Linked DNA regions of Caenorhabditis elegans. The protein of the gene in region 2 interacts with the protein of the main gene of each other region in a pairwise test. Each region holds a gene or a part of one and is shown on either strand. Other genes may lie near its edges.

The links.
Region 1: the proteins of hlh-6 (region 2) and hlh-2 interact in a two-hybrid assay, tested with the Caenorhabditis elegans proteins (2 studies listed by BioGRID).

Annotation. Positions count from the first base shown.
Region 1 is NC_003279.8:7,189,965-7,195,575, reverse strand, and holds hlh-2 (Helix-loop-helix protein hlh-2), read left to right. Parts: upstream 1-1,655; 5' UTR 1,656-1,668; coding exon 1,669-1,813; intron 1,814-2,163; coding exon 2,164-2,651; intron 2,652-3,490; coding exon 3,491-3,792; intron 3,793-3,904; coding exon 3,905-4,046; intron 4,047-4,213; coding exon 4,214-4,336; 3' UTR 4,337-4,788; downstream 4,789-5,611. Other genes in the region: plag-15 (PhosphoLipase A2 Group), read right to left, coding at 5,086-5,554. UniProt on the Caenorhabditis elegans protein: Transcription factor which binds the E box motif 5'-CA[TC][AG]TG-3'. Plays a key role in the anchor cell/ventral uterine precursor cell (AC/VU) decision; required for VU fate.
Region 2 is NC_003280.10:9,612,653-9,616,415, forward strand, and holds hlh-6 (Helix-loop-helix protein 6), read right to left. Parts: upstream 2,177-3,763; 5' UTR 2,161-2,176; coding exon 1,950-2,160; intron 1,809-1,949; coding exon 1,505-1,808; intron 1,461-1,504; coding exon 1,362-1,460; intron 1,055-1,361; coding exon 862-1,054; 3' UTR 811-861; downstream 1-810. Other genes in the region: T15H9.4 (uncharacterized protein), read left to right, coding at 41-165, 208-314, 366-593, 641-751; hal-3 (uncharacterized protein), read right to left, coding at 3,351-3,575, 3,627-3,763. UniProt on the Caenorhabditis elegans protein: Transcription factor that regulates the development of the g2 pharyngeal gland cells and pharyngeal gland function and thereby is required for feeding.

The DNA.
Region 1 (5,611 bases), on a different chromosome or scaffold from region 2:
GACACCTCCCCAAATACTCTCGAGAAAAAAGTTCCAGTACCGTATACTTTTGACAACATCTGTCAAAAAATGCACTTTAGAGACGGGCATTGGAAGTATCATTTCTTTTTATAATTGTTGGTTTATTACCACAGAGAGACAATTTTAGGATATGGCTCAAGATATTTGAAGACTCGAGTAGTCCCACAGTATTGTGATTGCTGAAACTTCTGTTGTGAATATGAGTAACTTTATTCTAATAAAATATACCCCTTTCCTGTGCACACTCTTTCTCTCACTCTTACCATATTCTGAAGAATTAAAATTTCAGAGATCCCTACAAAACTCTAATAACATGCTTCAAAAATGAATGTACTCCCTACAGTCGGGTGGCGACATTTTCCCCCAAGAGAGCTGACCTCTTCTATTCATTCAATCCCCTTATTCATTCAATCCTTCCCCCATTTTCCTCTCATTTCACCCAAAAAAGACTGGTGAATGAATGGTGGGAGAAGAGATGGAGGACCCCGGGATAATAGAGGATTGTGTGCTGCAGGAGGTAGAGAGAGATGGTTGTGGGCGTGACCTCTCCCGATCATCGTCTCTGCGTCTCTTGGATGTAGACGGTCCCCGGGAGAAAGAATGTCTGCGTCTATGTACACCAATATACTGTTTATGTCCCTTGAATGGGCTTTTATACGCGTCCCTCCACTACCACCACCCTCGAAGAACCATTCCTAGCCACCCGCATAGCCGCTAAGAAGGGGGGAGTGCACTCTTTTCGTCTTTTTTTGTGTCTAAATCTGTTCCGTTTACTAGCTTTTCAAGTTCATGATCTTACTGTAATAAAACATAGCACATATTTTGAATGAAATACATAATGTATCCCATCTTCTGATTTTGAAAATTAAAATTTCTCTCCTCCCAATTTTCAATTTTGGATCTTTTACCAAATAATTTTGATCTGCATTACTTTTTCTCACTCCTACAATGTTTACGAATCCTTACCAATTTTGAATTTAAACAAGAACGCAAATGTATTGTAGGGCAGTTTTTTTTTCAATTATTGAGTTTATCAAAAAATGTATATTTGCATCCGAAATGTTACTAGCTCACGTTTAAAGCTTTCATATATATCTTATCCTACGTCTGAATTTAAACTAATTATTTAGATGGGCCTGAAACCCTTTGATCCATCACCCCTTTACTGTTATTTTATTGCTCTTTCGGGATGTCATCCATCCGATAATCATCTACAATGACATCTACATTTACAACTATTTCTTGATACCATCTCAACATCATTACCTCCCTACAAATTGTTCTCCTTCAAGTAACTTGCTCCTAATAATTTATACCGGAACTTAGTAGATCTATTGTGACGTCACAATTATTATTCTTTATTGATCTACCTTGCCTCTTTTGATCTCGTTTGCCTATTTAACCAAACGAGGAGAATCGATTATTTTCTTCTTTTTCTTATTCTCAATATTTCTTCAAATGGGGTTGTCTTGACGAAAATCTAATCAGAATATATTTACTAACCTAATTTTTTCACCTGCTGCTCCAGCCCAATTCCCTACTTATTCCCTTTCCTCTCCCCGCTTCTCCGCTGACTTTATTTCTTTGACATTACTACTATAATCGTCTTTCATATCATTTCGCAGAAATAAAGTTTTCAGAACCTCAATGGCGGATCCAAATAGCCAACTTACGTCAGCCACAACTGTTGCAACTGCCGCCATTGCTCAACCACAGGTTATGCTTCCAAATGCATATGATTATCCTTATAATATTGATCCGACAACGATTCAGATGCCTGATTATTGGAGTGGTTAGTCTTTTTTTCATTTGAAATCTATTATAATTTCAATTATATCATTTGGTAAACCAAACCAAACATGTTTTCGTGAATTTGTTAAAAGTCGCTTGTAATCAGTTAGAAATATTGGATAAATTGCAGAAAAAGGATATAAGTTTGGTATTACTTATCTCGAATTGTTGAATTGTTGATTTTATAAGCTCGCAAATTTTTAAAATTTACTTTAAGTTGAAACAAAATGTATAACTCTTTTAATGTTCTAAAATTTTGTAAAAATCTGGTTTGCTCTAGTAAGTAGTTTATTAACCAAAATGTTTATATCTCATTTCTCAAGTGCAAGTCATCTAAATAAACATTTTCAGGATACCATCTCAACCCGTATCCTCCGATGCAAACAACGGATATTGATTATTCATCAGCCTTCCTTCCAACACATCCACCAACTGAAACCCCTGCTTCCGTAGCTGCTCCAACTTCTGCAACATCTGATATTAAGCCAATTCATGCAACATCATCCACTTCAACGACGGCTCCATCTACTGCTCCAGCTCCAACTTCAACTACTGATGTGCTTGAGTTAAAGCCAACAACAGCTCCAGCCACGAATTCTGCAGAAACATCAGCGATTGTTGCTCCACAGCCTCTTACTAATCTTACCGCACCAATTGACGCAATGTCATCAATGTATACATGGCCACAAACATATCCAGGTTACCTTCCACCTTCAGAAGATAACAAAGCAAGTGAAGCTGTTAATCCATACATCTCAATCCCTCCAACATATACATTTGGTGCTGATCCATCAGTTGCCGACTTCTCATCGTATCAGCAGCAACTTGCTGGACAGCCGGTACGTTTCTATTCTTCTTGGTTTTATTCGTGTTTTACTGTTTTACCACAAGTTAATCTCGACGAATGATTGCTTGGCCCTCCTCAGCCGCCAAGCATTCACGTATGCATAATCCGCTTCCTTTTGATGTGAGCCGCCGCCTTCTGAAGATTGAGATGCATGCAAAAGGCGGCATCTTCTTGAGAAGAACACCCTGTGCGCACTAAACGACCTCCAAAAAAGTCACTAATGTAAACATAAAACAAGGAGAAACATACAGAAAAGATGGATTAGTTACATAATTAGGCAAAGTTTATCGCTTTTTTTGTTGGAGGAAATTTTTGAGATTCTTTCAGTTTTCTTTAAAATAATTTTTGCCATATGACAATACTAAACATTAAGATTCTGAACTACTGTTGTCGTGAACAAAGTTTTGAGACCCTGATGACATTTTTTTGCGTTCCAGTCTTGAGAAATCTAGAATAATATGGTAAAATCCCTGTATCCAACCTCTGACTAGTGAATAACTAAATTGGCCAAAATTTGAAGCTCTTGCTTTTTGCATTGTTACCCAATAGCCGGTCACATTTTCTGATGGTGTCCTCGAAAACCGAAGGGGGCTATTGACCGACGTCGCCGCATGATTAAGTGGTGAACAGAGACGGTCACATTGCGGGGTTCAGTACATTAAAGAGATCGATTGATTTGACTCGGCCCCCAATAGTACCATTTGAGAGAATTAACTGACTAGCAAGGCAAATGAAATTAATTCTTTGTTTTGTTTCATTGAGAGAAAAAGTTGAGTAGTTTTAGATGAGGGTTATAGAAATTATAAAACCAAAAACAATGAAATATTGCAGAATGGTCTTGGTGGAGATACCAACTTGGTTGACTACAATCATCAATTCCCACCAGCCGGTATGAGCCCACACTTTGATCCAAATGGATATCCAGGAATGACCGGAATGCCACCAGGATCAAGTGCATCATCTGTTCGAAATGATAAGTCTGCATCAAGAGCAACGAGCCGTCGTCGGGTACAAGGCCCTCCATCTTCTGGAATTCCAACTCGCCATTCATCGTCTTCAAGGCTTTCTGATAATGAATCAATGAGTGATGACAAAGATACGGATAGGAGATCACAGAATAATGCTCGAGAAAGGTGAGGAGTTTTTTACTTTTAAGACGTTTTGAATTGAACATTGGAAATTGACAATTACATAGTAATTTAATCGAGATATCTCCAAATCTAATCTAATACAAAAAACTTACAGAGTACGAGTTCGTGACATCAATTCGGCATTCAAAGAGCTCGGACGAATGTGCACACAGCACAATCAGAATACAGAACGGAATCAAACAAAATTGGGAATTCTACACAATGCAGTATCTGTGATTACACAATTGGAAGAACAGGTTAGATAATTTTTCATATTTTAAAGAAACATTCAAATTGTGAACAAAATTAATTGGCAATTGTTCGACTGCTGTATTTTTGACTTTGAAGCACATAACATTGCGATGGAATTTATTCGAAAAATTTAAACAAAACACTGAACAAGTTGAAATTTATAATTTTACAGGTTCGTCAACGAAATATGAATCCAAAAGTGATGGCTGGAATGAAAAGGAAACCTGATGATGATAAAATGAAGATGCTTGATGACAATGCACCATCCGCGCAGTTTGGACATCCACGGTTTTAAATTTAAAAATTGACTTTTTAAGCATTTCAAACTATCATTCCCAATCTTCTCCCAATCATCCATACGGCTAAAACTCTCTAGCATATTGTTTTTTTGTTCAAACTATTCAAATGTTCCCCTTCATCTCCCTCCGGATTGGAGGTCCTGTGATTTCTCAACTTCAATCAGTTTTCAGTTTTAAAAATTTTAAACTTTATTACAAGATCATCACAATTTTCTGTATGTTTTTAATTTATTTTCTCCTCTAAATTTAAATCAATCAATAGCTAATTCTAATATTTCAAGTATTAAAATTAACTTTCATATTATTCATTCATTCAATCAACTTCTTCCAACTTGTCTTATTTTTTGTGTGTGTGTATGTGATAAACCATAGCTAATTAGTATCTACTTGAAATGAAATGGTCCACTCAAAAAAAAAGACACCGCCAACTAATTTCACACATGAATTACTCTATTGGGTAACTGTTTCAACACTTTAATTATCCAAGCTCCGATGAAGTGCTAATGTCCTTCGCAGTATGGATTCCACTTTATGTTGAAAGGGATTCCCATTTATAATTAGACATTTAGTTTGACTTTCTAAGTCGTTGAAACGAGATGTTTTTTTCATGGTCTGTCAAAACTGATGTATAGGAATATTGGATGTATAAAATGTCAACAACGGGAAAAAATGTGATACAAACATAATTCATTCACCTTGATCAAAACAAACAAAATTTTAAAATTCAGAACCCTTTTTGCATCACTCAAATTAACTGGAAAATGGCTTTTCGGACAAGTTCAATTGCATTTGGATGTTTAAGAATTGCCATGTGATCAGCTTGAAATACTTCGTGTACAGTAACCTTATAACCATTATTATTTCCAATCCAATTAGTGCACACTGTAGCTGATTTTTTGTTCACTGTCCCGTCTCCATCACCCATGAATTCAGTTGGTGGATAATCTGGAAAGTATCCGGGAGCCCATGAAAACTTTTCCGGTGTGGGGACTCCTGTTCCATAAATACAATGAACTGGAACTCCTGGAGAACTTAAATTTCCATTCAGACGGGCGGCCTGTTTGTATTGTTCCCATCCAACCATGTAATTAATGTCTTGAAAGAATTCTTTAATATTTCCAACAGTGTAGTTTTTGTCAGCAGTTGTCGCTAATATTTCATGTGGTTTCCATGCAACTGGACTTGGAAACAGAAAGGCCGAAGAGGAGAATGATCTGAAGAACCAAATAAGTTGAAGAAAAACATAATTTGGTAGTCTTAGCACCATAAGA
Region 2 (3,763 bases):
CTAGATTTTTTTTGAAAATCGGAAATCTGAATAATTTTAGAATCATTGCTTGCCGTCAAGTCATCGCTCGAAGCTCCCCAGCACCAAGTTTGGAGGCGGAACTGTCCGAGAAGTTTGCGAACTATGCAGTTGGAGTAGAGAAAGGAACAAGAATTGAGAAGAAAGGTTTTTGAAAATGGTTTTCTTCTGAGAACTTTATAATTTCAGACTCCAGTGAAACAAACAGTCTTCCATTGCATTCCGATGCTTTGGAGATTGCATTGCGGGAGTTGGCATGCTTGAAGCAATGGATTGTAGAAAGTTCCACTGAAGTTGTAAGCTTAAATAGTGAATACGTTTTCTAAAAATACAATTATTATTTCCAGCCACCGTGCGACAAGGGGCCTACTCTCATGATCGATCCACCAACTGCGCCTGGCTCTGCCGAAGGATGCCCACCTCCATTAGTGAAGGCCAAATCCACAACAAATGCAATCGAGCGATCGGTTTACTTCCCGTTAAGCACAACTGCTGCTGTTGCGATTCTTGTAAGCACTCCAAAGAAGCGAAGCATTTTTAGACAACAGGACAGGAATTCGGCTATCAATTTTGCGGTAGGTTAAGTTTTTCAAAAATTGTGAATAAAAATATTAATTTACAGGAGCAGCCCGACCACGAAAAGATCACATCGGATATTCCTGAAGAGGATGACCTGAAGAAATGCGAGCCTATGTCTGGAATTGCTGCATACATTAAGAAAAAGTTCAATTAGGCAGAGATATGTGTGAATAAATCGTTTTTACATGTTTCTGTGTTTTCTAGAACTTGACAGTTATTATCCACTATTTATTAATTTATTTCGTATTCCAAATAACAATCCGCTCACATAGCATTATTACTCGAATTAAAATTAAACGTAGAAATATCGATTAAAATATTTCCTTCGGACTCCTCTTGGAATCCATTGAAGCACTTGCAGTTATACTGATGAAGCTCGCTCCTCAATAAGTTATCCAAATGTTTGATATAACGGATTGCAAGCCGGAGAGTGTCAACTTTTGAGATTCGCTTTTCACTGGAAAATATTATTGTCAACTGTATCTATAGGAAGATAATTATTGATTAAATGTTTTGATAGGTACGTGTCACTAGCCAAATTTTGGTAGCAAAATCTTGGAAATACTTGGCATTATAATAGTAGCCTTTTGCATGAGTTGCTGCCAGATAGCTGTCACGGGGATTCCCGAGTTTCCTTCGGGATTTAATAGCATTTCAAGGTAAATTTGAGGTAAACTTTACTCTAAATGAATTTTCTCATCTACAACTTCCCTACAATTTCCAGAAGCATTTTTTTAATTTTTTAGAAAATCATTGAAACTTACTCAAAATGAACTGGAAGATGTTTTCTCAGTCTCTCATAACCATCATTCACATTTCTCACTCGACATCGCTCACGTTCGTTTCGTTTCCAAACTGATGAGCTGAAAATTAAAATTTTCAAACTTTAATAAAAGCATGATCTTACCTATATGGTCCGTATTGATCTTCAAGTTCAACAGGCAGGGGTACTGTAGCTTCAGGTGCAAATGGGTTCACATATTTCTTAAAGGCGTTTGAGCTAGTGTCCAATGACGCTTTAGAAGAAGGTTTTGGCTGACTTTGAGTGGGAAGTTGAGGTTGAACTTGGCTTTGAATTTGAATTTGTGGTTGATTGTGAATAGGTATTTGAGATATTTGTGGTTGAAGTTGAGATTGAATTTGAGTCGGGATTGGTGCAAGTTGGAGTGGGGTGGAAGTTGGAATGTGGAATTGCTGATCGATTAGTGGTACTGTAATATATTCAAAAAATGATATAAGTACATACATAATACATTTATTGGAGTTAGTTTCCATTTGGATAATTTTTAGATTTTTAGAGATATAAGCTGTCACCTTTGAATAATCGGGTGCAATATAAAACATTCACTCACCCATTAGTTTTTGTACATCGGTTTGAACATTTTCCAGTAGAAGATTTGTATTTGGAATTGAAGTTTGAATATGATTTTGAATATGATGTTGAATCGGATTTGGAATCGGGGTTTGAATAGTATTCTGGTTGATAATAGTCGAGTAGACCCCATTCTCAAATGTATAAGTTACAGGGAACATGGTCAAAAAGTTGTTTTGGGAAATTGACATTTTTTGAACTATTCTAAGCAGGTTATCTATAACTGACTATCCACAGGGACAACCTAAACAGTAAAATGTGGGCGGGGCCTACAGTAAATATAAGCTGTGCAAACAATCGGGGAGCCAACCCGAAAAAGGCGATCCATGCATGATATTTATTTGTTAGCCACCGAAATGTGGTTTTGCACAATGAGCACATCATTTGTCGGCTTCCGACATTATTTATTGAGGGCAATTGGGAAACATCGATATTGGAAAAAAAAACCCGCAAAAACAGAATTTCCGAAATGAATTTTGTATTATATTTACAGTGTCATTTTCTAGGTATATTTCTTGAGTAAATACTGAAGCAGATGTTTGGTATGCGAGCTATATGATAATCAATCATTTTTTGTTTTGATTGAATATGGTAATTTCCCATAATTAACACCTGCACATCATCAGAATATACGAAAAGATTGCAATTTTTCATCATTGTAGGTGATTTCAGTGGGAAAAACTAGTTTTCATATAAAATTTCGAAAGGTCCTGGCACGACTAACCCTTTATTACCTCTCCTACCCGAAAATACGGTACCTGGTCTCGGAACGGCACATTTTTGTTAGATGCGAGTAGATGTGCGCCTTTAAAGAGTAATACAGTTTTCCTCGTGATTTGACAAAATGTATATATTTTTTGTTGTTACATTTGAATTGTAAAAATATAAATAAATATTTTTTTTTAATTGTAAAAAAACTTAAAAATCGATGAAAGCTTGAAAGCTGCGCTGAAACGAAAGTTTTAAATTACAGTACTCTTTAAAGGAGCACACCTCTCGCATTCAACAAAAAAATGTGTGTCGAGACCGTGTACCGTATTTTTGGCATAAAACTTCGCGCCTGGCCAATATGTATATTATTTCTCAATGCGAATTGTCTTAACTTTAAAAAAATACTTTTCAGAATTTTTTAAGTGTCTGCTTTCTTCAAATTTGTCGATGCTGAGAATCAAAATTTTAAAATTACTGAATACTTTATAAATAGGAACTTTCGATGAAAATAAAAATAAGATCAGTCAGTTACAGGAACCCATTGATCCTGTTCCTTTTCTGAAAACTTATAAAATACTGACACACAACGCTATAATTTATATGGCACATTAAAAACACGATACTAAAAACTTAAAGTAGATCACAGGGCAAAACGAAAAAAAAAAAAATTTTATTTTTGTGCCTGACGAATTCGATCCCTGAGCCGTGTAAGTTGTTCCAATGAGAAGTCTTTGAACAAATCTTCCAACTGTTCAACTCGAACCCTTTCCTTTTCTTCCATCATTTTCATTGTCGCGTCGTGAAGCTTTCGTTGCCGATTTCGTTCGGCAATCAGCTCTTTTTGCATTTCTTCGTTTCGTTTTTTTACATTTTCGTACGATTGGAGAGAAGCGGCCTGTAAAGTTCATATTTTGTAGTTGAAAGTTTATCTAATCTCTCCACTTACACATAACTTGCTGATTTTGCTAAATTTCAAAAATTCATCAGGCAAATTGGAATCCGCATCATCAGCGAGATATTCGTCCTCTCTCAACTCCAAAACACTCTTCACGGCCATTTGTTGGGATTTCAGAATTGCGACGC